Struthio camelus: one gene and its partners. The protein of the gene in region 2 interacts with the protein of the main gene of each other region in a pairwise test. Links are inferred from orthologs where the notes say so. Each region holds a gene or a part of one and is shown on either strand. Other genes may lie near its edges.

Region 1 (5,859 bases), on a different chromosome or scaffold from region 2:
GAAACAGCAGAAGGAAGTCAGAGGGCTGAGATCCCAACAAGCTTATCCTTCCCAACATGTGCTTTGCTACAGAAGCAACCAAACAGTACTGATTTCTGATGAGCAAGTTTGAGGTTGAGTCTCACTAGCACAACAGTTGAAAACCAAAAGGATGAAGGAATTAGTACTTTCACTATTACACTAGCCATTTTAATGATTGAGCTCCCCTTTACAAAGTTCATGTTTGCTCTCTGCTAAACACAAACAAACAAAGCAAACTAGCCAAATAACTAGTTAAACTAATCATCCATCAGCCACATAAGTTTTGGTTTAAGAACTGAGCATTATGCTCCATATGCAATAAAAACATTTAGACATGAATTTGCATAACAAATGAAGGAGAAGACCTGATGACCATTTCCAGTAACACTGGCAAGACCAATATCCTATAGCTACTTATAAAACACAACTGTATTCAACCTGCAACATACAAAGCAAAAGGGGCAATGCTGTCCTTCCACAATTTAGCTGCATTACCCCAAAACACAGATAAAGCAGCCTTGGTTTGTTAAAACAAATTAAAACAGTTATACTAGGATCACTCAGAGAAGGAAGAGTATTAAATTGTGGCTGTCAAGAAAAAAAGTCTGCTTGAAGCTCAAACATGAAACTGGGGAATGGGAGGGGAAAGGACAGGAGAGCTTCTTTGCATAAGCTTCCTCAGCTGTGGGTAACACACAGTTTTCAGACATTCACCAACAGGCCTGAGGACATTTTTCTACTCAAAGTTGCCAGTCAAGATCTTAAATCTCAAGCTATAAATTAAGTTTTAAAAGCTACTCTAGACTGGATAGTTCTGTAGCCACTGCATATGCAGACTTGCAGCCACTAACTTCTTCTGGAACATCACAAGAGGTGTTTGAAGAAGGAACAAGAGTTTCTAACAAGGTCATTTTGATCAAGCTGCATCCCACTATAAAGGGCATTTAAGACTTCTGAAAGCAGGTCTGGTCAAAAGATAATACTGCTGCTTAAAATTGATAACAAACTAGTCCTTACTTCACAGGGGAATCTTACTCTACTTTGTAAGGGATAAGCCTGCTGTAGGCTTGCCTTTTACATTCACCTCATCCATTCAACCCTGCCTTGCTACTTTAAGCCTCAAAAAAGTGACATTTCTGCTTCCTTGACTAGGGAGCCTCTGGCGCTACCTCAAAGACAACAAAAGAAGTCTTCTGTTATTGAAATGCCTTTTGAAGGACAACGTTCAGCTATGAACTATTTGTAGCTAACAAAAGATAGCTATCTGCTATCTCCCTGAACCCTTGCTTAACTATATTTAGTTAGGCTGCTTATGAATATACAAAGTCACCCACTATACTCGTTTCCTGCACAGCGTCGGGAGACTGTTTTGTCTACAGTGACATGCCGTACGGAGTCAGTGCTATCCGACAGCCTCTCCGCGTTTACGCTTACACGGCTGCTGGTGCTGCGTTAAACGCGAAGCGTTCACCCTCGATTTCCTACCACGACAAGGAACAGACGTAACCGCGTGCAAGGCGGGTGCTCACCCAGCTTAGGCCGGAATTACAACTTGCGAGTGAGGTTTGTGCAGCACGGAGAGAGGGAAAAACTGCAGGCTGCGGCGTTAGCGCAAGAGGCAGAAGGGCAGGCCCGGCGAAAGGAGCGGGGCGCCGCCAGCTCGCCCGCGGGCCGAGCGGCACAGCAGCAGCTCGGCCCGGCAAGTCCCGCTCCCTTACGGACTTCAGCATTTAAATCCCTCAGAGAGCACAGGCGCGCCAGCAGGCCCCAGACGCCGCGGCGAAGCTTCAGCAGCGGCAGCTCCCTTCAAAGGCCGCCGCCGCCGGCTCCGACCCCGAGGCAGAGGGGGCTCCCGCCCCAAAACCCCGAAAACTCACCTCAAAAACCACCGGCCCCTCCGGCGGGGCGGTCGCGCAGGTCCCCCCCCCCACACACACACCCCGGGAGCTGCCACCCCGCTGCCCGGCTACGAGCCGCCGGGACGGGACGGGCTGTGCTGCCCCCGGCCCGACCCGGCCTCCCCCCGCCTCAACCCCCGCGGCCGCCCTCACCCATCGCGGCTCCTCCGGCTGCGGCTCCCGAGCTGCGGCGGCCACAATATGGCGGGCAGCGACAGAGGGAGGGCGAGGGGAGAAGACGGCGAACGGCGGCCGCGAAGGGACAAACCTCCTCCAGCGCTGCGGGCGCCCCGCCCCTTAAAGGAGCGCCCCGCGCCGCAAGGGCGCCCCCAGCGGCCGGGGGCGGCAGCGCAGCACCAGCACCAGCACCAGCACCAGCACCAGCACCAGCACCAGCACCAGCACCGCCCCGTCCCGTCCCAACCCCCAAAACCCCGGTGGCGGGCAGCAGGCCAGGAGGAGAGGCGCCGAAACGCTCTAAGAAGTCCTTTTATTATAAAGTGCGTCGCCGATCCGCGTGTCCCGCGCTGCTCTCCCGCTCCGGGGCCGTTCGTGCCGCGCCGGCGCGGGGGCCGTTAGGTGGTGCGAGGCCGGCGGTTCCCACCCATGGCAATGAAAACGTCAATGGGGATGTTGGGCAGGGTCAGGCAGTGGCTCCCGGGGCATCGTCGCAGCTGCCTGCGGAGGGAGAGAGAGCAGGGTTAGCCCAGCGGCACGGCACGGCATGCCACAGCGTGGCACAGCATGACACGGCACGGCATGGCGTGGCAGAAAATGGCCCGGCATGGCCCAGCATGGCACGCCACAACACGGCACGGCACGGCATGGCACAGCACTGCATGCCATTGCTTGGGCTGCGTGGAGCAGCACGGCGCAGCATCGCGGGGCACGGCACAGCGTTGCACGGCACGGCACGGCACAGCGCACCTTGTCCCGAGAAAGCCCTCAGGCATGCAGGAAAGCGGGGGGCCAACCTGGCCCCCCCGCAGGACGGAGGGTCTCGGGCCGTTGGGGTGATGTTTTGGGGAGCAAAACAGCTGTGTTCGCCAAGGAGGGGACACGGAGGGGGCACAGCCCTTACCTTCCCGCGCTCTGCTGAGCGGCTACCGGCTCCTGCGTTTCGGGAGCCACGGCCAGGCCGGGAGAGTCGCCCGCCTCTATGGGAAACCTCCGAGCTTGCGGGGTCTCCTGGGAGTTCATGTCCGAGCCCTAGACCTGGGCGAGCGGAGAGGAGAGCGGGGGGGTTAGGGCAGGCGCGCGGGGCGGCAGCCGACCCCCCGGCCCCACGCTGCGGGGCGCTGGCCGGGCCCCGTGGCGCGTGCGGTGGCTCGGCGGCGTCCCTGCCTGAGCTGAGCGCGGTGGCGGCAGCGGGGCCAGGTGCTCTGTGACCCGCCGCGCGCCCCCGCATCACAATGCCGCCGGCACCCGCGCCACCGGGAAAACCCCCTGCTCCCCGCTTCCCCGGCTGGAAAAACTCGAGCTGGACGGAGAGGCGAGAGCAGGGGCCGGGTCCAGCGTGGGGTGCGTGGGCAACGCTCGGCCGCCCGGGGTCTTTCCCTGCGGGGCCACTGCCGGAGGTGGAGGATGCCGCCGAGGAGCGGAGCGTTTCCCGCGTGTCGCCTCCTGCTCCGAACCCCCCCGCCACCTCCCCAAATCCTGCCCTGGGGGGGAACAGAGCAGCAGGGACAGGACGCAGGGAGATCAGAGACAGCAAAAGGATGGGGAGCACCCGGAGGGCCCCCCAGCCCCGCACCCCGACCGCCACCTGCTCACGGCGCCTGCCAGGAGGTCGTTTCAGCGCAGCCCATCACCGCTGCCCCCGAGCCACTGCCCGTTCGGGCGCCCCTCCATCACCCGATTCACGCAGCGTCACCTGCATCACAATAGGACACGCGCATCTTAAAATGTCCCTAGGTGCCCCCTTTCCCGGGGGCTTTGCCCGGGCCGGGGACGCAGCGGCGCGGCGGCTGCAGCAGATGCCAGCCGGGGGCGCGGGCGGCCGCCGGGCGCTGGGATGCTCTCGCGGAGTTGCTGTGCGATGACCTGAGAGAACGGACGGGCCCGGTTTGCGAGAGGAGATGGAGGAGATTTTGCTCGTCAATGGCTACCAGTTGGGCAAGACCATTGGGGAGGGAACCTACTCCAAAGTGAAGGAGGCTTTCTCCAAAAAGCACCAGAAGAAAGTGGCTGTTAAAATTATTGATAAGAAGGAAGGTCCAGATGGTAAGAGATGACACCGGAGAGGACTCCAGGCTGAGGCTCGGTCTCTCCTTGGAGGCTTCTCGTTCTTGGCAGAAAACTAGTTTCCCAAACTTTCCTCCGAGGAGCAGGAGAGGAGGCAGCGTCTTGGGGGGCTCCAGCTGCCCCCGAGCTCCAGGGGGGTGGGAGAGCTCCCGCATTTCCCTGCTGCAGGCAGAAAGCACAGCCCGGGGCATCAGGCCGTGCTTCCCTGCGTCCCCGGTCCCTGCATCGCTCTGGGAGAAGCCCTGCAGGGATGCTCGGTGCAAGGCCATAAGGAATAGGGCCCCCGTGAAAGGACCTTCCCTCTCTCCACCCACCCCTTTGGCCAAGCCCTGGAGGGGTGACAGGAGCCAGCAGCTCAGGGACGAAGGGCCGTCCTCATCCCCGCAGTGCAAGCAAACCCCTCTTTCTCTCGCCGCAGAGTTTATCCAGAGATTCCTGCCCCGGGAGCTCCAGATCGTCCAGCGCTTGGACCACAAGAACATCATCCGTGTGTATGAGATGCTGGAGTCTGCCGAAGGGAAGATCTACCTGGTGATGGAGCTGGCGGAGGACGGGGACATCTTCGATTGCGTGCTGCACGAAGGGCCCCTGCCCGAGCGCCGCGCCAGGGCCCTCTTCCACCAGCTGGTCGAGGCCATCCGGTACTGCCACGGCTGTGGCGTGGCGCACCGCGACCTCAAGTGCGAGAACGCCTTGCTGCAGGGCTTCACCCTGAAGCTGACGGACTTCGGCTTTGCCAAGCTGCTGCCCAGGAACCGCAAGGAGCTGAGCCAGACCTTCTGCGGCAGCACGGCCTACGCGGCGCCCGAGGTGCTGCAGGGCGTCCCCCACGACAGCCGCAAGGGTGACGTCTGGAGCACGGGTGTCATCCTCTACGTGATGCTGTGCGCCAGCCTGCCCTTCGACGACACGGACATCCCCAAGATGCTGCGCCAGCAGCAGAAAGGGGTCTCCCTGCCAAGGCACCTGGGGGTCTCCGAGGAGTGCCAGGACCTCCTGAAAAGCCTCCTGGAGCCAGATATGATCCTGAGGCCTTCCATCGAGGAAGTCAGCTGGCACCCGTGGCTGACTAGCCCCTGAGAAGGGCTCGTCAATGCTGTCCCCAAATAAAGGGGACGGATTGCTTCTAAAACGCTGATACATTTTCACGTCAGTGTTTCCCACCCATCCATCCCGCGGGGGGCAGGCCAGGCCAGGCCTTGGCTGGCAGAGCCAAGATGATGGGTCTAGCCCATGCTCAGGCATTTCATCTGTTCACCCAAAGCCCCTGGCCTTCATGAGTTGAGAACAAGGCGTGCTTTATACGTGCTCCAAGGAGCTTTGAGCAGCGTTTGCCCACCTTCCCAAGACCATCTCAAGCACTGGCACGTCTCACACAGCCGGCGGATCCACGGCCGTGTGTCCCTGGCCACGAGCAGGGCGGGAAGCTTCACCCCAGCCCTTCCCCTGCCTGGCTAGCCACTACGGAGAAGATGCAGCCAAGGCACTAAGCCAAAGGACAGCCCAGCATGCCCTATCCCTCTCTTCCAGCATCCTCCCAACCAAGCGCATGTCCCTCGGCGGAGGTGGGAGGGAAAAGAAATCAAAACCAGTCCAAGAGACACAGACCCTCTGGGCAGCCCCCACCCTGCCGGCAGACGAAATGAGGACACCCAGTACAGGCAGCGACTCTGTAGAATTCCTTTAATTGCTGTTA
Region 2 (7,045 bases):
CAGTAAAGTTAAAGGACTGTGTTACATTTGCAAACATCAGAAAACCCTCAGTAATCATGTTCAAATTCTTCTTTTGTACCCCTGAAGTTTTACAGACTTGGGCTTTAATCCTGTGTACCTGCAAGTGAGGCTTTACCCTACTGATATACCTTAAAGAGAAGTGTTTGACTACTTTTTGCAGAAGGTAGATTCGCCAAATCGCATTAGATTGTAATTTTGAGAAACACGTTTGCATGTCTTGTACCATGTCCTTTTCATGAGGTAATATGAACTGTACTTAATGCTAAGTCTCCTTTCCACCGCTACAAAACAGATGTCTGTTATGTTTTAACGGCACCAAAATTAATTACTTGTATTTAGTTTTCCTCTTGTTTAGGAAAAAAACCCTTTCCTGACACACTGTAGAATACACACCAGACGGAGGCAGCTAGAGTTAACACTAAAAAATATTCATTTGTTTACAGGCATTCACCGTTCTCTTCGCTGGTAGGAGCTGCGGAGCCTTGCTGGTGACCACCGACACCTGAATCATCTGAAATAGCCCCTGAAATTTTTGGCTATTTCAGGGCTCCGGACCCCGCATGGCACCTTGGAAAGGAAAGATGAGTGTGTTGTCAGGGCTGGTTTAGACACGGTGCAGGGAGCAGCGGGCTGCTGGTAGCAGCGGGAGGTCAGCAGTAGGTCCTGCTGCCTGTTTTTCCTATGCCTAATTGTTGCACTGTCTTCAGGGGAGGGAGCAGTAAAAGGGAGCAGGGAATTGCAGGCACTTCCCTTGCCTGGCCGGCTCCAGGCAGGCTTACGATGCATTACTGAGGCCGAGCAGTCCAGACGGATGGGCAGGAGTGTCTCGGAGCAGCAGACCCAGTGGAAGTCCCTTGGCCACCCCTTTCTCGCAGACCCACACTGGCACCTCTCTGAAAAGTGGTGGCAGGATCCTGGGAAGCAAAAAGCTGCGGCATGGTAAGGGAGGGGTGGTAGCACGGCCTGTGAACCTTAGCAGAGTGGTGCGGATGGAAACGCGGCACAGGCAGTCCGTGCAGTGATGTGGCAAGAGAGAAACCAGGCTGTGGCTGAGTCCAGCTGCGCATAGTCCACACGTGTAGTTCCTGGATCCCTTTTTACCAATAGATTGGTTTAATTAGTTGGCGACTATGGAAATGCCTGCATAAACCTCAGTCTGGTTCAGTAGAAGTACTAAGGTGTGCACACCTCTACTTCTTGAGACCTCCTGGGTATCTTCTGTCTGGCTCAAATGTATGTTTCAAAACTTTTTTTTCTGTCAAATATAGAAAGTGACAGAGCTAATCCTCTTTCACTGTCCCTGGCTGTCAGAATAGCGTTAACTTGTACATTGGGAACCTCAGTTAGGTATTTTTACTTAGTATAAATTCAGTTCAAGCCTTCTAGTCGCTTGATTAGAAGCAATATATCTTAAGTATAGATTTTCTTTCATTATTTTATGGACTACATTCTTCAACTCAAAGATTCCTTAAGAAATTATAAATAGAAAAGATCCAATATTTTGTGCCCGTAATTCAACTTACTGTCATTGCTTTAAAAGGATCAAAGTGATATTTATGACTTTTTAGAAATAATTTTTTCTGAAGTGGAGGTAGGCCTGTACATTAAGTTCAAGCTCAAAATATGATATTGCTGGTGCACAGAAAAGCCTTGAAGTAAGCATTTTAAAGAAAATTGTGATTTTAAATTGAAATAAATATTGTATTGAACACAAAAGCATGCAGAACATGACATGAGACTTAGAAAACCGCAGCTGAGCTTCTGTTGATGTAAGTCAAAGGAGGCATACCTAGTCCCCCTTTCCCCAAGGATGTCTGTGGGAGGCCCAAGTCATGAATCTGGTTGTTGGGCATGAATCTAGTTGTTGAATCCTGACCAAAGTGTGGTTATAGCAAGTGATTCTTTGGCCAGCTTAGAAAATCCTGACCCTTTGTCTGCAAAAGACATTTTTAAGTAGCAGCATTTTGGCCTCCACAGCTGGTCTGTGCCTCAATGGAGAAGAACATTTCTTTAGTTCATTTTTCTCTTCAAAAACCCCATTCCAAATCAGCAGGATCATCTTCTGGTTCTGGTTAAAGCATCAGGCAAGGGAGTCAGGCTTTTACAGTCAAGCTTATGCAAACACGCTCACCCCTACGCGCCCTGTTTTCTTTGGTTATAAGGCTACTGCTGGTCACCCGCAGCTTTAGCAGGGCCGTGGGCCTGGTCCTAACTGTGTTTTAAATAGAACCAGCACAGCAGAGTTGTGATTTAATAGTTTATTAGCTGTATTTGTGGAACAGATGAGACCTTGGCTTGTGGTACCTGGCAAGTAGTGCAGGATGGATCAGCGAGCAATGTGCTTGGTAAGGAGTCTGCGCTTGGACAGTAGCCTTGTTTATACAGATTCAGTTCAGTGCCCACTTGAGTTAGCAGAAGTGTCTGACTTCAGAGTACTTAGCAAAGTCAAACTGTGGGATATTACATTTCACTTGTAAGACCTAAAACTAGCACCGTCAGTGAAGTAGATTAAGGTCTGGATGACGACATGAACCCCTGTCAGTGTGTGTAGCAGAGGTCATTCCCAGAGGACCACAGACACAAGTTAGAGCAGCTTACAGCCACCCGTCACCTTCTCTGCTCGGGAGCGTTTTTATAAGCATAATTTCAAAACTGTGCTGTCTGGACTGAATGCATAAACCACACTGAGCAGCCTTAAACCAGAGACTCAGTCTCAGGAGGAAAAGTGGGGGGTTTCTCTGGTAACAGAAAGCTACGTTAGCAGTCTCCATGCCAGGCTGTGGTGTGGAGGCAGTGTGTGAAAATGGCCACGGCCAGCTGGCAAGCGTGCTCTTGGGGCCATTTTTTTTTGTAATTTATCAAAAAAAATTTGTGTTTTTTAAGCACTGTGTACCATAGGACAGGAATTCAAGGCATGATTTAGAGTAGTCCCCATCTCCCTGATTTAGGGCTACCTTGAATTAACTTTTGGCACTCACCACTGGCCCTCTGGAGTCTCCAATGCCGGGAAGATGCAACCAGCCTTGCTGTACTTCCACCGTCTCCTTTATGCTGTTTTTCACTGGGAGGTACAGAGGACCATACTGAATGAGGCAATTCCCATTGCAAAAGCTACACTTTCAGAAGACCAGATTTCTGCTTGCAATGCAGTTATGATGGTTGAACAGTTCAGCTATGGAGCACAGACTGAACCAACTTTGTTTTTAGCTGTATTTCCAAATCATGCTAAATATGGTGGTTTTTTAATATATATGTATATATAAGTATATATAACAAAAATATATTTAAAAGTATACATAAATAATAATTTATTTCCACTGATGATCAAATTGAAGAGTCAGTTATAGCCCTCCGTAGTGTGTAATAATATTCAGAATACTTCTGGCAAGGCAGTGGCCTGGGATTCATTTAAAAATCAAGTTCTCCTTTAATAATAGACACATTTTTATTCACTGTGTTAGGCTCTGCAGTGTTTACTATAACCACATTGTTCTGGTTACTTGCCAGATCACTGAACCTATTGTTTCTCTTATACTTCCACATTAGGTTTACATACAGTGCCTGACTCTAAAGCAAAAAGTTTTAACAGGACACTGAGCCTTCTACTCCTTCTATTTGCCTCTGTAGTTCCAAATGTAATACACTTTATTTAATTCACTGTAACTGCTTCTCTGTTGATTGACCATTTATAATCCAGTGGAACCATAGCAATGACCTATGCTTTAAAATGAGAGTAATGGAGTATCCCCCTCACACAGAGTCAGCCCACCTTGAAAGCCCTGACATTACCACTACCCCACTGGATTAGAGGAGATGTGGTTTATATTAGTGGCCTGAAGAAGGTTCATGCCCTTTGGGAAAAGGTTGTTCCCTGGAATGGCAGTGTGATTAATGGTTTATTTACAACACTGACATCAAGGCTGTCAGGACTCTTCATCAGTCTTTGATGTAAAACACACTCCGAGGCCCTAGGTCATTCTTATCTGCTCAGAGAAGAGAAATCAGAAATGAAGAATGGGTGAGTGTGGCTTCAGTTCTGGTACTAATATTTTCCATAGTGGCAGCAACAGAAGAAAACTACAAGGTCACTTCTACTTCGCTGGACAAGCTGGTGGGACCATATCTGGTGGTATGGCTTCCTTTTTTTGTCTGGGGGGAGAGCAGTATGTACAACAGAGCAAGAGACTGCCGGTGACAGATACCACGGTGAGAACATACAGATACCTACATCAGATCCACAAGGAGGGGTAAGTGTTTCAGCACTGCACAGAGCTCAAAATAGGAACTGATGAATTTTCACTATGACATTTTTAGTAATTATTGTGTGGTACTCAGCACTATCATGTATGGACATTTCCAATTTTCAGAACTTCAGTATTTTAAGAAAGGCTTCCCACTGCTGAAAACTTTCTATATTTTCTTGCTGAATTGGCTAAGCCCAGTTTGATTTTTCTGAAAACCTCCTCAGAGCTGTGTGCTGGTGAATCCCACACAGCCCATGTTCTCGTGGGCTGGCTGATTAGTGAGATAATGCTGCAATAACGTCAGCCGTTCCTCTCAGCGCTTTGATGGCAACTGGCTTGTTGACATCCAGCACGTTTACATAGGCAGCCACCTTTTCTCCTGCCCAGTTCAACATCTGTGGTACAGGAGAGATTTGAAGCATAGACAGTATGCAATATGCCTACGGTACTTCAGTTCTACATTACCTTCACAGGGGATTTAAAAATAACTAAGATGCCTGAGAAGGTCTCCAGGGCCCAGTTAAAATAGTAACTGGATGAAAATCAGTTACTGAATCTGAGCCAGATAAGACTGAAAATAATGCTAGGGAGGAAGAAAACTATTTTGGAGAACCTCAACTTCCCTCTGTTAAGAGCTCTGGCATTTGTTTTATCAAAATGTTCCAAACCATTTGGCTTTGTGTGGGCTCCTCGTTATTTCTTGGTGCCTAAACAGCATGACCCTATGAGATAGTTCTTCTGTGCATGATATCCTGGCAGACTGCACTCCTTCTTGATGGGTTAGGGTTTACTGATAGCAATCTATGACTTGCAGGAATATGTCTAGCAATATGCCCATAAATCAAACTGCTCATCTTAACAAAACTCTAGTTCAAACACAGCAACGTGCTTGCTTGGCAGAGCTGGCTTCCGAGAGCGCGTTTTACTGGGGTTCACTTGGCTTCCTATAGAGTGCTGGATGGAAATTAGTGTATGCAGTGAGGACCACCCAAAGCAAATGATTTCCATTAGAACTAAACAAGTCCTTAAATGCAAGAGTGTAGGATGTTCGTGCAACGGGACACAGAGGTTTCTTGACAGTGGGTGCTACTTAAGATACTATCTTAAGGAGAGCAAAAAAAGCCCCACAATCTAGTAGTAAAAAAACCACATCCAAGTAAAATAATCAGGAAAAATGCAGAGGCAAATTAAATTCACACACAACAAAAGCAGACAAAACTAAACAAAGCTGTGCTTTCCTGTCCTAACTTTAATCCTCCAGAAGGCCTTTAGACATTGTAGTAGATGGCTTCTAGCCCACGTGTGAAGATCCTAACTACAGTGAGGCAAATGACTGTAATTAGCAGTCTGATTAATTTTACTTCCTGAAAGTGCAAAATGCAAGCACTTAACAGATTCATTATTTGACATTTCTTCAAAATTTCTTAGGGGAACAATTCTCAGCTCTGGACCATTTGCAAATATTTCATTCTCAGCATTTTACCTTTTTGCTGTTGGCTACTTGAACAGATTTTTCTTTCTAGGTTAGATGGCCCTTAGTTAGCCAAAAGCTTGTGTTGTTGTGAAGATCATTTGCAAGTACAAAACCTTAAGTGCCCAGCTCTGGTTAACTAGGTAAACTGATCAGCACTCAAATGTTTCCACTAGAATATTCCTAGGGAGTATGTACACACTCACACACATACACACGCACCAATGGCAAAAAAAATTTTAGATGTGAAAATTTCACACGCAGAAAATTCACATGAAAATTTTGCAGGAAAATGTAACTTTTTTTCCAGCTTTAGTCCTAAAAACTGGAAGTATTTCCATTTGATTAGTACAGTTGTGTGCATGGAACCCAAAACAAAAAGACTGAAGAAGATAGGAAAAAAATACATAGAAAATAAGTTTTTGTTGATAACTTTCCATGTTTCTCTCTACACACATTTCATGGAAGATTCTAGGTAATAGAAACTAATGTGGCTAATGAGTCACAACCAACAATCATACTCTCAATACACAGTATACATATATTTTGGTATTTTCCAGCTCCCGGAGAAAGTTTCATCATTTTGTCATTCTAAAACTTTCCCAGACCACTCCCTTTGTAAAATCTGTTAAAGGGCTTTTAGCTGGTTTGTGGTCAAGGCTCTGTGTCTCGTGCAGCATGTTAATCCCAAAATATGCTTCAGCAAGCTCAGAACAAAGTTGGGCTGTCCTCAGAACCCCCCTCCTCTTCTCCTCTCCCTTTCCCCATCTCCATATGGGAGTTTAAAAGCTTAAATTATTGAATGCTGCAGGGTTTGTTGTTGGCGACGAGCAGTTGCAATGTAGAAATCAGCAAGGGAAACCTGGCATTTCTGGCATCCATCCTGGGAACCACACAGGGCTTGCTGCCAGGTTTTTCTCCATCACGCTCTTCTTGCTGGAGCTACCTGAAGCTCATTCCCTGGCCATGCGTGTCTCTCCTGCTCCCCCCTGCACCAGCTGGAAAGGTCTTGGCTGCCCGTCTGCCTGCTGGAGGTAACATCTGCTTCCCAAGCTGCTCCGTGGCCATTTCCTACTCCACTTTGGTCAAGGTGAGCTGGGCTTGCAGCCTGGAGCTGTGGCGGTGGTGAGGGCTGGGAAGCTCAACTGCCCATCCCACCTCAGAGGCGGGCACTGCTGGTGCCCAGCAGTGGGAGGAGACCCCCCCCCCCCCCCCCGGCAGCTGAGAGGGCCACAGCAGAAGAGGATGACTGTCTGTCTAGCGCCTCGTGACACCTCCTGGTGCAGGGAGAGGCACTGGGAGCTGCTGA
Region 3 (7,593 bases), on a different chromosome or scaffold from region 2:
GGTTCCTTGCATTCAACACTGCTTTTCAGGTGTGCGATCGCCTTGAATGTAAACTCCCCCCCCCCCCCCGTCTCAGCCCCCTCGCTGCCCCTCCACCCCCGCTCCCCACAGCTCCCCTCCAGAGCTGGCCCCGCGGCCGCCATTTTGTGCAGCGCCGAGCGCGCCAAGGGAGGGGGCTGGGGCCCCGCCCTAACGGCCGTAACCGCCCTCACCGCGCCCCGGCCCCCGCTGCCCCCCCCCACTCACGGCGCGGCGGTCGACAGAAGGGCTCACGCGTGGGCCGTGGGAGCCGCCATTGCCGCGGGCTCCGACGCCGCCAGGGGGCGCTGCAGGGCGGCGCGGAGGGAAGGGGAGGGCCGGCCGGCGGGAAGGTGGCTGCCGCGGCGGCCACCGCCCCGCCGGCCCTGGCTCCTTCTGTGTTTAAACTAAGGGGATATTTTTCCTAGGGTCCTGCTCCTCGGGGGCTGGGCTGGGGGTTTCCTCGGTCCGTGCCTCGCCCGTTCGCTGCGGCCGGAGGAGGGTGGCCTTGGCCCTGGTGATGAAATGAGTGGGGGCTGCGGCTTGAGTGGGCTCCTTGCTTTCTCGGGGGGGGGGGTGGTGATCTGCGGAAAAGGGTTTTTCTGTTGCCTGTGACTATCTGGTTAAAACACTGTAAGTTTGCTTTGTTTTTCCTCAGTTGCCTTGTGCTATTCAAGGGCAGCAGGGTATAATACTTGCTGGCAAGGAGAGTTAGCAGCGGAGAGTCTTGCAAGCCTGTGTAGAGACAGCTGCGCCTTTCGGCCAACTTCCGCGGCAAAGTGCAGGCTGCTGTGTATCCAAAATCCTGCCTGTTCAGAAACAATAATCCAAAACACAAACTTCCTACCTTGTTCTGGAAGTCATTCTTTTTTTGTGCTACTTTATTATTTTTCCAGGGCAAGCCCCAAAACGGAATATTTTAAAAAGCCACCCGTACGCGTTAGAGTAAAATAAACAGTTTCGGTAAGCATCTTTTCAGCAGTCGAGAGAGACTTGGGTTTGAATTTTAGATCCTGCCTGGGAACTGATTCCACAAAGAGATAGGCGTGTTTAATTTAATTACCGCTCTCTTCTGCTTATCTTTTCACTCTAAATAATCCCCCATCGTTGTACCGCATAACCTGGTGTCACTCACTCTTGGAGCGTATTTAGTAGGCTTTCTAGCGGTGTAACTGAGATCAGCGTTTAGGCTTGAGCGTTCAGTAAAGTGTATGTGAATGTTACCAGATTACAAGGTCCTGAGTACCAGGCTCACAGAACCCTTGATTCATCTGAAATTAAAATGACGACTGTCCCAATTTGAGAGTGTCCTCTGCTGCTATTTCTTACTACAGCATACATGCTTGGCTATTTATTGTATGAGCTTCCTGGCGGAGAGAAGTTGAACCAAACGTTTCTCAGTTTGTTTTCTTATCCAAGTAGTTTCCAACTTCTTATTTACACTTTTGGCTTGTGATTGTAACTTCTGTTTCTGCCATTGTGTTTTAGTGGGAATACTGTCTGCTTATGGAGTTCTTCCAAATATAACTGTTTTTTCCCTTGTAGAGCTTCCAGTGGTTGCCAATGAAGTCCTGTCATCAGAGTGATTACGTTATTTTGCATTGCTTTGTTGCTCCTAGCGAAATCAAAAAGTGAGAGACTGCTAGGTTATAGTTGAAGTTAATTAATACATCAGCTACTTGCTAGGACTTGTAATGCTTGTGGGACTGGGGAAGGTGAGAGTGGGGAGAAACAAGACATGAAAAGACAACCAGTAAAACGAGACAAAAAGATGTGAAGATATGGCAAAAAATGACAAGGAGAAATACAGCACAACTGGAAGGAACTGGAGGCAGCTAATTCTAATGGGAACTCCTCCGATGCTCATGCAGATAAGCCCTGTTAAAAGGCTGTTTTGTATACAAAGTCACATAGGGTTTTTTTAACCTCTTTCCCTCCTCCTCCCTCACTACTAACATCCTTTCGCTGTGGGGACCAGCCACGTTTACCTTCAGAGGTCGTCCAACTCTTACACATCTAACTAGTCTCTCTGAAAAACGGTTTTCAATTTGTGTTTCACTTGAAAATCTGTTTTATATGTTTCACACCTGAAGAAGGATTTTGTGCCAAAAGCTTGTCTATAGTTCCCAGCTATGCCTAAGTAAGCCTAACCACCCCTACAGGCCTTGTCCTTGTTATTTAGCAATGATGAAAGCTATACAGCAACCATGAAATTTTGGTGAAGTTTTATTAGTATTGAAAGCTACTCATTATTTATAGATACTCTATATTAATTTCCATCTGGAAAGAGGAACAGACTCTTTAAGGCATCTATATACCACGGAGCTGTGTGCTGCTGCTTCCAAGGTCTGTGTTTCCCCCTCACCACTGCTGCCGCGCTGGGGATCCCAGCTTCTCCTGCCATGCCGGCTGCCCCCTCCTTGGCCACAAATGCCTGCCCCAACGCTCATTTCTCATTCCACCTCTTTGAAGGAGCAGCCCCTCAACCCCTTTGAACTTCCCTAGGTCTACAGTGCAATTAAGTGTTTGATTTATGACTTAGGCACCCGAGTAAATAAACAAACCTAGGGCAAAGAGCGAGCTCGAAGCTGTATACTGGGGATCAGACTGAAAGTAGTGGTGCCAAAAAATATAGTTACCTGATCAGTTTTACCTAACCTAAATCTGCAGTGCGCTTGTGTTGGAAAGAGGTAACTGTGCTCTGCTTTAGCTGTGTGTTGCCACTCCCACCCTTGTTTTGGGAGCTGATCCATCTGGAAAGTAGGGGGGTTTATGTTTTCGTTTTGTTTTGTTTTTTTCTTTTTTCTGAGGTTAATTATGAGATCAAACAGGTCCAGGATCCTGTTGAACATATATCGCTGTACAAATGCTAGCACTATTACTGAATCCAAAGACTCGGAGCTACAGCTGCTTCTAATCCATCCCATATGCATTATTTCAGACATTATGCCATTCGTTATGATTTCCTATCATGTGCTAATTGATTCATTCCTTTATGCTAAGTATATAGTCATGTGCTAGTCACTAGCAGCCCCACATGTTGAAATCATGTTATATATCTTTAAATGCTATATCTCCTGGTCAGCGAGTCCTGCTTTAGCTATTACCGTGCATACCTGTTACAGGCCTTCATTCTTTCTTTGCTGCACTTTAAGCTTCCTGCTTGTTAGTCTAGGATGTAGTTCCTTAGTCATACTCTGAAGCTCCTTGTTACTGCAGTTGTGCAACTACTGTAATTAGAGCTGTTGTTCTGTGTATCTGTGCTTTAGCCTATGGTGCTATTAAGAGTTTGAGAGGGGGAGGAGAGAATTTTGAAACATCCTGTAACATATTTGAAACATCCAGGGTAGTAGTGTCAGTATAAAAGCTGTGTTCAGATTAAGTCATGTTGGACCACGGAAGTTTTGCCTGACTTAGAACTCCGTATCTGGCTCAGAAAACATGACTCCAGAAAAGCAAACGTACCCAGGAGACTGAGTTCCTGAGTACTTGCTGGTAAGGAAATTAACTAATCAGAAGAAATGAATGGGAAAAGATGAAAAGAAAGATGTATCACATATCCTTTTGATCCCTTCCTACAGAATTTCAGAATAAAGAGTTTAAGGAATCTAGAGCTGTGCTGATTTTTTTTTTAAGCTTTATAGGAAGAAGGCAGATTACTATTTATGCCATTACTACTTACGCATAGCAAGTCCCAAAATTTACCAGAAATACAATGAATTGAACACACTCGGGTGCAAAAAAATACTGCTGCTGATTTCTCCAGTTATTTCTACATGACATCTGAGATGAATGTTTACAGAATTTGATCCTTTGTACCTGTAGTCCTAATGTGACACAGTTTGAGGTGCTATACTAGCCTGCAAATGCCCAGCATCGGCGCAGTGTAGACTGGTCTGTGGAATTCAGACTATCCCGGCTGCACGCGCTGTTCATTGCAGGAACTACAAGCTACAGGGAAAATAGCTGCACCCTCCCAGGCTTTTATCTTCCCAGCCCTGAATGAACCAGCTGAAAGCACTGCTGTATGAAGATAAGACACGCACGTGCGGAAACTAGTGAAGAGGCTAGGAGTAAGATCTGGTAAAAAGTGGCTCTCTAAGGAAAAGCTAGGGCTTAAGCACAGTGTGGTGTTGTGGGCCAGGAAGCAATTTCTGTAGAAATGGGGAGAAGTAATCTTGAGTAAGAGCTTGCATAACCTGGACTGCGCTGTCCCTACAGCTGCTTCCTGTACGTAGGCTGCCAGGGCAAAGCCAGACACAGATTGGCGTGTTTGCTTTCCCGCAGGGGAGGCTACCCCAGGCTTGGCGCTGCTGAAACTCCTGCTCCCCCAAGCAAGGACTCAGCCTGTAGCAAAGCCTACAGATGCAGCCGGGTGGGCGCATAGGAGGCTGACGTACTAGCCTCCACAGCCCAGTGCACAGCTGGGCTCCTCTGGATAACGCCTGGCTGGGAGAAACCCCACTGCGGAGGGTTAATCAGGTCCTTGCCCCGGGCACCAGGGAGGTGATGCCGCCTGCTAGCCAGGTGTGGCTTTCTTCGGGTTTCCTAGGTGAGGTGATATCTCCCAGGCTCAGTGCCTATAGCAGCCTTTCTGCTGCTATGGCTGCTCCTGGCTATAGCCCGCCCCTGTAGTGTCCTTATTGGATTCCTGGCCAAGGGGGTGTTGCTGCACTGATAGCAGCCCTAGTAGCAGCAGGGAGAGCAGCACATTGATATGCTGGAGCTGCTGAGTGTTGTATAAGAAGGAGCTGCAGGGAGTGGAGGCGAATTAAACAGGATCACGTTTCTCCTCTGTGAACTGAAGAGGTTAGTGACTATTACTTAATCCCTGCTAACAGTAATTAGGATTTGGAAGCACCGCTTTAGTCTTCTGACCGCCTCCACCCTTCCCAAGATTGCTTGCCACCAGTGTCCCCCCCCCCCCCCCCGCTGTTGTGAAGGGGTGGGGGAGTCTAGCAAGTCTTTGCATAGGTGCTACCCTAGTTGCTCTAAAGACAGAGACACCCACCAGAGTAGAGGAGACAGGCCAAACTTGAGAGGGGCTTTAAAAAAAAAGAGGGAGAAAGAAAAACAAACAAAAAAACCCAGAAAAAACGTTTGGTTGGAAATATGTCAGAGGTGCCCTGTGTTGAAGTAGAGTGTTAGCTCATAAATGATATGAAAATAACCAAGTAGTATCAGGAGGTGGCCAGAGCTCTGCATGGTGAGATAGTGAGAGGTCATTCAAAACCTTTTGTACGTAGTGTCTTCTGGGCATGTTTTTGGACCTGCAGAGCTTCCTGCAAATCCTGTTAAAAACCATGGCTATTGTGGGTGTTTGAGACCCTATTTCTGAAAAATAGACCACTAACCTTGCTGTACCTCATTTTACCCATGTGTAAAGCATAGATGATAGTATTTTCCTATTGCAAAGGAATGTGGTGCGGCTTGTGAGATGCTGAAATATTCCAGATGGCCCTTGGTGGGAGAGAGATGATTCTTATGTTCTCAGATACAGTGTAGAATCCATGTGTAAAATACATTGACACTTTATTGATACTACTTTATGCTGTAGTCACAGTTACCACTTATATCTAACTATCTTAGAAAACATAAATCATGGCTCAGTGGTTGCTTCCAGTCTACGCACAATGAAAGATAGGCTCAGCCTTCATGTAGCCTTTTCCTGGCATCATGCTATACTTCTGTATTGGAGGTTGTTCAAAAAAACAAGCTAGTTAATGTTAATTAGGACAGCAGCTTATTGAAGTGTTTTTTGGCAAAATAACTTATCAGGTATCAGGGGCAATAGAACATGATAATGTAGTGCATCAGCAGACTCCTTGCATTGGTTTGCCAAATTAGTTTTCATTTAATGAAGACAGTCATTCAGCTGTTGATCCTCTAATCACAGATGCTAGCAGAGAACAACACAATGCCAAAAACTGATTTCATAGCGTTTGAGCATCTTTCTGTGGTCTGTGCCAGTAAATGAGAAAATACAGAAATCTTTTTTAATGATATGAATCCATTGTAAAGTTTTAGTTTTCACAAACTGCAGAGCAACTGACAAATGTTTAAACTTATATTCAGAGAAGTAATGAGCGATCAGCCTAGCTAATGAAGTTTCCAGCTTGGAATAAAAATATTCTTCACAGATTTTTGTGCCAAGAACTAGTAGTATTTTCTAAACAAATACTAATTTTAGTTCACTAGCTTGCCTAATGTTGTATTTCTTTCATCTCACTAGTATTGGAAATTGTATCATTTCCATTGTTAAACTTCCCTTCTACTTGAGGGCTGATGTAACCTTGTCCTGTTAATTTTCACATGCACATGGTTAATAGACTTCTTTCTCATACTAACCTCATAGTTTCTTTAGAAAGTCAGTTGAGCTGTGGTTTGGAAGCATCTGGAGTTCAGATCAAAGAAGTGTGGCACGTGTTATTCTTAAAGAACGGGCAATACTTATTTTGTGTGGCTAAAACGGAGAATCTTTTCTTCCTAGTTTTCAAACTCAGTTTTAGTGAAGAACGTCTACAGTATCCACTAACTTCAGAAAGTAAGCTCAGCGTATGAGAATAAGATGAGCAAAAAGCCAGCTTGATCTTTGTTCCTTTTCACAACTGAATATGCACCGTCCATGTTGAAAAAAACAAAGATGAATGGAGAAATGAACTGACCAATTCCTGAATTAAAACTGGAATTGCTTCCTCTCTTGCACTGGGGCGTCAAAATTTCAGTAAAATGCAGGCGTGAAAAGCACATTGACGTCTGTGCATTTTAATGATACCTCTCAGTCACCACAGGTGCATATGGCTCGTAGAGAGCATGTTACGCCTTGCGTTCCTCTGCACAGATTTGCTGTAGAAGCTTCAATAATTATCTGTTAGCCCCAAAGTAGTCCATTAAAGTACTATTTGTGCTGCCCTCCTTGGCCAGGTAAACAGCAGTCAGAAAATAGATTAAAAACAAAGCATTGTTGGAAATAAGTGAAGAAACTAACAGAAAGGGCTGCGATATGTATCTGCAGTGGGACAACAACCCCCCAGGCAAGGAGTTCCTTGAAGCACAGCGGTACAGCAACATTGACATATATGGGACCAGGAACGGCCCTTTCACTTCTGATTTTCAGGAACTGTATCCTTCTGAAGCTTTCAGTTAGTGCTCAGTGTAGAAAGAGAACTTGCTCAATAAAGTACACTAGAAGCATAATGTAAGGAGTTAAAATGGTTGCTTCATTGATAGGGGTGGGAATGGGGCTTACGGAAAAAAAAAAAACAGACTTGAAAGCTAAGGCACTTAGCAACTTAATCCTGTGGTAAAAGTATTGAGTGTATACATGCCCAGTTTTAATTTAGGAGATCAAAGGTTGTTGAGGGCCTAGCCCCCTCCTATGGAGCTGGCCTTAAACCATGAAGTGTTCTCATGCACACGGGGCCGAACTGGTGGGCCTACATCTTGAAACTTCATAAAGTAAGTGCAATATATGGTTGGCCTTCTCAACTAAGCAAAAAGAGGTTTGGCTCTTTGTTTAACTGAACTTAAACGTTTCCTACCAACATTTGCAACCCAGACAGAGATCTACTGTGC
Region 4 (7,556 bases), on a different chromosome or scaffold from region 2:
CATGATTAAAAGCATCCCATTGGAAACTGAGGAGAGCTGAAGGGAATTCCTGGCTCCTCCACAAATCCCAGCATGTGATGGAACTAATTGGCAAGCATAAAAGACACTTGGTCTGTCTGGTTCCGGTTGGATGGGAAATTCTTTGGAATGGGACCTCCCTCTTTCAAACATGCCTCAGCACAGAACCTTCAAGCATAAGGTTGAATTTTGCCCAAATTAAAATGCCATGATTCCAAATGACAATTCTTTTCTTTTATTATCTGCCTCTTTCTTGCAAGTGAGCTCATCTACTCTATGAATTGCTTACATTCATCTGAGGATGCACTAACCCAAAAATAGATCCGAGTGGCCACTTGTGAGTGAACTCCTTAGGTCCTCTCATTATTATCCCATAGTGCACAGTTTCATACCCAGACTAACCACAACCTGAAGGATGTTTGTTGAGCACACTGAGCCAGATTCTTCTTAGAGATGCCCAAAGAAAGAACAAGAGGCAAAAAAAAAAGCAGTTACAGCAAGGGAAATTTCAGCTGGATACAAGGATAAAATTCATAATGAGAGTGGTTAGGCACTGGAACAGGCTATCCAGGGAAGTTGTAGAGGCTCTGTCCTTGGAGATGTTTAAAACTGAGCTAAATTTTGAGTTGAGCAATTTGATCTAACTCAGAAGTTAGCTTTGCTTGGAGCAGGAGGCTGACCTAGATGACAAGCAAAGCTAACTTCTGAGTTTGCTGACTATTACTACGCGAGCTGAGCCAGTAGATGTTCTTCCATGAGAATGTTCCTCATCTGCTCCAGGAAAAAGCCTGCTACATCAATTTTTTAGTTCTGCGTGTAGCCTGAAGAGAGGCCTTAAGGCTAAGACATTGCTGTGTTCTGGCACAAACACAGCTCAGTCATACCGTTTTCTTGGAGCTACTTCTATCATGAGGCTTATCTTTCTAATCTCTCAGAAACTCTAAGCAGATCATTCTGATGAATAGCAGTGGTGTGTGTTGTTTTCAGTCCCTTTCTGAATAAGGCCCTTCCCCATCTTGGCGATCTGTTTCAGAGAAGCAGCCCCCAACTCAGGGACAAGACAAAGATGCAGGTACAATTATTAACCCACTACTCCCTAGCCCTCAGACCAGTACCAGCAGACTTTAAAACAAGGAATTGCTTAATGCTGAAAACCATTTGCCCAGGACAAGTTTGCTCTTATCTAGGAAGAGATTTGGGACTGGTTATATGAAACCAGAGGAAAAGCAACATTTTGGTTATGTTGTCATGGTGGCTCCTTCATTCAAGAAGTATGTCTGTATTTCAGCTCCCGTGTCTCTGTCTCCCGTGGTGAATCATTTATTTCATTGGTAAACCTTTTAATTAGATGTCCTTGCTTTTCACTGTTGTTTTAGCATAGAAAAAAAAAAAACTGAAACAAGTTATAAACAAAGCAGAAAACAAGATCTTTTAATCTTCCTAGTGCCCAGGGAATCACCCAATAGTCCAAATTTCCCAGAGCAAAATATCAGTTGGTTTCCAGAATGCAATATAATCTACATGCCAAGCCTTGAAAAATCCATTTGCTTACTTGCCCCAGGAAAATTGCTTTTCTTGGTGACCTAGTAAGAGTGTAAAGCCATGAATATATGAACTCCAAACTTTCATTTTGAACAGCCACATTAAAGTCTTGTTATACAAAGTTGAATTCTTAAGGGTAGCTGAGACAGTACTGCTCTCCCCACCTGTAGGCAGCCAGCTCCAAGGCCACTGCTCACAGCTTTATGAATCAATAGCAGAAAAAAAAGAAAAGAAAAAAAAAAAAACCCCACAGATGAGATCAGCAATGCTTTCAGTCTTCGTTTGGTCAAAGTTATAACCAAAGAAAGCCCCTGAAACTTGCCGCACCAAGCAACACATGTAAACTAGGGAACCTGGAAAAAGGCACGTACACATCTAGAAGTCTCAGAGCTCTGAAAATATGGTAGAAGGAGGAAAAAAAGGAGGAAATTTTCTTCTGAGTGGTATCAGGGAAGGCTTCAATTTCAAACAGCAACATGAAAAGCAAAAAAAAAAGATTTTCGCCTCCCCTAGCTTATGGATAAGGATGTACTTCTTGCCAAAGTGAAAAGTCTAATATACCTTTGAGAAGTCCCTTATTTTCCATGCCTTTGGTTAACAGATATCCAGTGAAAAATTCAAATTACCTCCGTTCCCTGCCCCCCAAAAGAAACCAGAAAAGCAATTTCAGTTATCTACCAGAGGATAACCCCGAAGCAAATGGGATCATCTTTCCAAGATATCTTGCCTGACAAGCAAAAGCTTTGCCTCCTCAGGATCTTGTGTAGTGTTTATCCTAGATTAACCCCGGTCAGCTGAGCTAGGAACCTCTGTGGACACAAGTTAGTTCAGTTGTTGTCGTCCCAACCCAGTCCTTGGCCACTTTAGCAAACTGCCCTGAAGCAAAAGTGAACCTTGGGGTCACTGCCTGACAGTCTTAATGACTAAGAGTTTTTGCAACGTTTACCCTGGTGATGAAAAAGATTTAGAAGTACCAGTTATTCCTCCACACGGAGACTTCCACTTCTCCTGACCGAGCCTGAAGCGGGCACAAAGCTGGCCATCGGCCAGGCAGGCCGGGCCATGGCCCGCTCTCCGGGGACGCCAACCAGCTCCCTAGTCCTCCCATTCGAGGACTTCAACCGAGACCCTCGCAGCCCTCCCCGCTCCTCACTGCGGAGCCCTCCGCCGGCCCTCGGCCCGCCCTGGGCACCTCCCGGGCGTGCAGGGCTCGGAGACGCGGGACGCGGCGCGGGCAGACCGCCCCTCGGCCGGGGCGACCCTGCCCCGCGGGGGGCAGCCGGCACTGGCTCTGCCCAACGCCCCCGCGACCCCTACCTTGAGGCTGACAGCAGGCAGCTCCATGGCAGCGGCCCGCCCGCTCGCCCCGTGACTCCCAGCGGCGGGGCCGCCTCACGTGGGGCTGGGCCGGGCCCCGCCGCCGCCACGGGCTGGTCTCGGGCCGCCCAGGGGAGGGCAGAGGGGCGGGAGGAGCCGGGACGGCGCCTCGCCTCGCCTCGCCCGACGGGGGCGTCCGTCAGCATCCGGCCGACCCCAGGCCCACTGCAGGCCCTCTAGACTTCCCCTGCGGGGGGCTCCCTGGGCCCTGGCGGCCCTTCCTCACGTCAGGAGGATGGCAGGCCGAGGCCCTGCCATGAACTGTGCCCTCTGCCCCGGCCAGCGAAATGGGACCTCTCAGTCGCCCCTTGCACACCCTCAGCTGAGATACTGCCATCCCCAGCGCTATCTGGTGCGACAGCCCTTTAGCAGTAATAAAAGTTTGGGTTTGAAAGTGAAGATGTGGTGTGAGAGCGGGACTGGGCCCTGCAGGGCACTCCAAGGACAGCAGTGATGTTTCCATGCCCTGCTTTGTGCATTGTCTGTTATTGATGTTGCCCGAAAAGCTTCCAGAGTAGGCCACCTTCACTTGCAAGCCAAACATGAATATGCATTTGGGCTATGCTGTAGTGTCCATAGGAGTTTAAAATGTCCAGTTTCTCCTGACTGCTTCACCTCACCTCAGAGCTGTCATGCAGTTTGAGGAAGGTGTCTGAGGAGCAGGAGCCTTAACTGAATTAGCCTGAGACTCGGCAAAACCAGGACATTTCCAGTAAAGAGACAGCAAGTTTCATTAATCATGAAGGCATTTAATAAATACATCAGATGCTCTCATCTCAGCAGAATGTGTGGCAAAGGGCATACTTAAGTATTCCAGGGACACTATGACTCTGCAGGCTTTTCACATGTAAAACTGTACTGCTGTTAACACTAGTAGTCAGGGAAAGTCCGTGGTGCTCATACCTTAAGGAATCTAGGACAATCGAAACAGTAGAAAACAGGGACGTTTTCCCAGGACATCCTATTTCATTAAATTTATTTGCTGCTATCTGATACGTATTGCACAGCACCTGCAACACCGAGGAGAAAAAGCCATCACTAGGTTAGAAGGGTAATGGGATCACTTTGTTTGTTAACGCCAAACATCCAAGCAAACAGCTCTTGCTACTTACAGAAGCAGTGCAGCTGTGGGAAGGTGTAACAGCATATTTGGGCTGTAGTCAGGGTCCCAAAAGGCTAAAGTGTATTTAGTGCTTAGCAGCTTTCTGGAGGAAAAGAAAGCTCTTGTGCACACATCAGTAGTGTGACCAAAAGACAGTAAGTGTGGGGAGTGGAAAAGAGGTCTTAAACACTACCACCACCAAAAAAAAAATTGCAAGATGTTTGTTGCACTCAGCTGTATCATACAACAAAGCAGCCATGTTCAACTCAATTTGATTGTCCTTTGGGGTTGAGTGCTTGAGTCTCTAGCCCTGTGGCTAGAATGGCTAGCAGATACTTAGTTGCATCCCTTGGCCCTTTTGATTTTTCCCTAGAACTAGATCACTGAATTCTTTCCTAATGCAATTTCCTCCTCCTGCAACTTCAAAGCAGAACAGTCTATGCCAAGAGGATTTGGGGAGTGGGGAGGATTACACTAAGGTGTGCTCTTGACAGACACGCTTGAAAGTCCTTTCTGATCCCAATAAGGGAGAGCTGCCTCGTACAAAACAGGCATTCTTCCATTGTCATTCTGAAAGAAGACTATTCCCATTTTAGAATTCCTGCCCAGTTCATAGTACCATTCTTTTCCCCAGGTATGACAAAGGAACTAATAACACCAAGAAGCCGGGCTGACTCCTTTTCAAACCCTGCCTTCCTTGCCCAGTGTATACTTTACCTGTCTGCCGTGTCCATCCACAATGCATTACTGGATCAGGTGCTTTCTTGTCGTCATTCAGGTGTGCTCATTATTTATTCTAGCAGAAAAGATGGGGCCACTGAGGAATGAGCAAGGAGTCAGAAGTTCATTGCAGAGGCTGAATATGTGAATCATCGTTCAATCCCATTTCTAGTTCAAGCAGTGCAGTGCAAGATTATGCATATGAGTGATGCAATGCTGAACCTGTGTTCACAGTTCATCAGGCAAAGCACGAATGTAGCTCTATCCAGGCTGTCCTTCACTGCATACTGAGTCCCATTGACTGCTAATACACAGCACACTGAGATTTCCCAAGACAAAGTACTAAATGGCAAACTGAATCAACTCAGAAAATGGTAACCAGAAGTGCCAGAAGAGAACTGATTAGCTGCATAGCAGCTAAACAGCAGGAAAAAAAAGCTGTAAAAGTGCACCCAAAATCTCTAGTTGTACCACTTTACCAGATGAAAGACTGAAAAATAATTCATCTATTGCCACATCCCCCAATAGCTGTGACTTTCTTTCCATTTCTGTACCTTGCAGGGAAGCCCTGCCTCCACTCACAGAAGTAGTGGTGTCAAATGGGATCAATAATAATGCTCCCAGTGATGCCAAGGACTGTATTTTACCCTAAATGGCAAAAAGAAGTTGTGGCACCTAAAAAAAAGATAAAGAGAGACTTTGAATAGCCTTATTGCTGCCTCAATGCTTGGGTGAAAACAGCAATAGGAATGCCCTTCCACCAGGACAGGTATCTAGCAAAGGAATAATGTTGTTATAAAGACAAATTCCACTGTCATGCTGCAGCCTAGTTTAAGTATAAGCACTGTTTAGATGCAGCAGTAAGTGGGCGTCTTTGCTCCTTTCAACGTGTTCACTCAGTCTGAGTGAGACAGAGAGTCTCATTATCATTTATACAGCGCGAGCCATAATTTGGATTGATGTGACTGCTGTTTAATGCAAAGCATTCGTTTCCCCTTGTACAATAAAAGCACTTTACTTCATTTTGTTCATCAATGTATTGTGCAATTAATTCAGCCCTGCTTATTATATCCTGGGCTTGCATGTCGTGGACTCGAGGGACTCAGAAGTGTCTTCATGATCTCATGGATATGAAAACAATGAGAACTGTGACAGACATTATGCATTTGCACGTCTCTCACACCTATCTGATCGGGGGGATTTATTGTTTTTTATCTCTGCTTTGCTTTGCTTGTACCTTGTAAATTGTCTGTCTGTGTAATCTGCTGCCTCTTTCCCTTCCCTAGGCTTGATAATTCAGAGCAACATAAATATGGTGCGAAAGACAAGCAGCGAGATAAAGAAGAAGACCTGCAGCGAGAAATAGATGACCCAGGAGACTGGAAAGACGATATGGAGATTTTCCTGAGTAGCAGACTTGTCAAGTGAGTTCAGCTGAGTACAACTAATATAATATCCATTGTATAGCTGGTTCGTCAAGTATATTGGTGATATGCCTTCTGCAGGGTGGGTAAAAACCTATTACACAGCTGGCTCCCTTCGTGACAGCATAAAAAGGAGGCAAAGAAGGCAGAAGTGCTTTCCTTTGTGTCTTCAGGACACTGTAGTTTTGATGTACAAAGTTACAGCAGTTCTGTAGGGCAGCAGCAGAGCTGATACAGTTGCCCCTGCTGTCCCTATCTGGCCTGTGGAGATTGAGACAAGCTCACCCCTCATAGTTCTGCCCTTCTTGTCCCTCACTCAGGCTCTAATCTGAAGGTAACTGAAGACTGCCGATGACACTGGTATCTTTGAGTTGTGCCCTTGTCTCGAGAGCTGAGAGCAATGAAGGCACTCGCCCTGCACAAATGCGTGTATTATCTATAGAGCCTTTCTGAATAAGAAGCGAGGAAGGACATACAGAAGTTGTCCTGGCTCTGCAAACTCTCTCTGAGATCCCAGTGGGAAATCAGCAAGCAGAAACATTATCATTAGGACTGGAGGGGAAAGTGAAGGCATTTTGTAATGCTGGTGGGGAACCTCCTCCTGCAGCTTCACTGCAGAACAGTCTATGGCAAGATGATTTGAGGAGTGGGGAGGGTTACACTAAGGTGTGATCTTGACAAACATGAAAGTCTTTTCTGATATCATCAGGGAAGAGCTGCTCTTCTGATTTTCTAAAATCTAACTAGAGCTTTGAGAGGTAATTGAGGGACTACTTTTCAAGATTTGCTGGCGCTCTAGAAAATGAATTGAGATAGCAGAAATGGGTTTTAGGGGTGCATGTGATCACTCAGAACATTCCAAGAAAACAACAGCCCTCGTTGTTTCTGATAAAACACATGAACAGCAATGTTTTCTCCAGGCTTTATGCAGTAGAAACTCTGACTGGCATGGACTGGAACAATTTATTATAGCATGGGTTTGAAACTGAAGCACTTCTCCACACTGTGGATTGACAACAGGGTAATTAGCTGGGGGGGGGGGGAGGAGAGACAGTTTCAGTAAGACAACCCCCAAGCTAAAATGAATGCAGACTATTACAGACCTGAGACAGAGTGATTCCCAAGTGTTTTAATTTGTGCTTCCCCTCCTTATCTTGCTTGCACTCATCATTTTGGCAACTGCCAGCAATATTCCTGAGATTCAGCTGCATTCACAGAGCAGGCAGCTGCTGAGATAATTATGTCAAATCAGCACGCTGTCCTCTCGTTTCCATGTCTAATGACTCTCACCCTTGGAGAAGTGGCTCAGAACGATGCATGCCCTTTGGATTTATTGTGAGGCTGCTAACAGCAGTGACTCCAGAGCAGGAGTT

What was found.
Region 1: the proteins of LNX1 (region 2) and TSSK3 interact in binary tests that used the Homo sapiens proteins (3 or more experiments, as listed by UniProt). The link is inferred for Struthio camelus from reciprocal best matches to the Homo sapiens genes LNX1 and TSSK3.
Region 3: the proteins of LNX1 (region 2) and BLVRA interact in a two-hybrid assay, tested with the Homo sapiens proteins (3 studies listed by BioGRID and IntAct). The link is inferred for Struthio camelus from reciprocal best matches to the Homo sapiens genes LNX1 and BLVRA.
Region 4: the proteins of LNX1 (region 2) and AGTRAP interact in binary tests that used the Homo sapiens proteins (3 or more experiments, as listed by UniProt). The two-hybrid records come from large-scale screens. The link is inferred for Struthio camelus from reciprocal best matches to the Homo sapiens genes LNX1 and AGTRAP.

What each region holds. Positions count from the first base shown.
Region 1 is NC_090964.1:8,520,003-8,525,861, reverse strand, and holds TSSK3 (testis-specific serine/threonine-protein kinase 3), read left to right. Parts: upstream 1-3,944; 5' UTR 3,945-3,997; coding exon 3,998-4,142; intron 4,143-4,581; coding exon 4,582-5,243; 3' UTR 5,244-5,346; downstream 5,347-5,859. Other genes in the region: KPNA6 (importin subunit alpha-7), read right to left, coding at 2,073-2,076. UniProt on the Homo sapiens protein: Serine/threonine protein kinase required for spermatid development and male fertility.
Region 2 is NC_090945.1:57,112,060-57,119,104, forward strand, and holds the start of LNX1 (E3 ubiquitin-protein ligase LNX), read left to right. Parts: upstream 1-4,025; 5' UTR 4,026-4,268; intron 4,269-7,045.
Region 3 is NC_090943.1:60,052,761-60,060,353, forward strand, and holds the start of BLVRA (biliverdin reductase A), read left to right. Parts: upstream 1-4,589; 5' UTR 4,590-4,827; intron 4,828-7,593. UniProt on the Homo sapiens protein: Reduces the gamma-methene bridge of the open tetrapyrrole, biliverdin IXalpha, to bilirubin with the concomitant oxidation of a NADH or NADPH cofactor. Does not reduce bilirubin IXbeta.
Region 4 is NC_090962.1:6,801,876-6,809,431, reverse strand, and holds the start of AGTRAP (type-1 angiotensin II receptor-associated protein), read right to left. Parts: upstream 3,018-7,556; 5' UTR 2,905-3,017; coding exon 2,878-2,904; intron 1-2,877. UniProt on the Homo sapiens protein: Appears to be a negative regulator of type-1 angiotensin II receptor-mediated signaling by regulating receptor internalization as well as mechanism of receptor desensitization such as phosphorylation.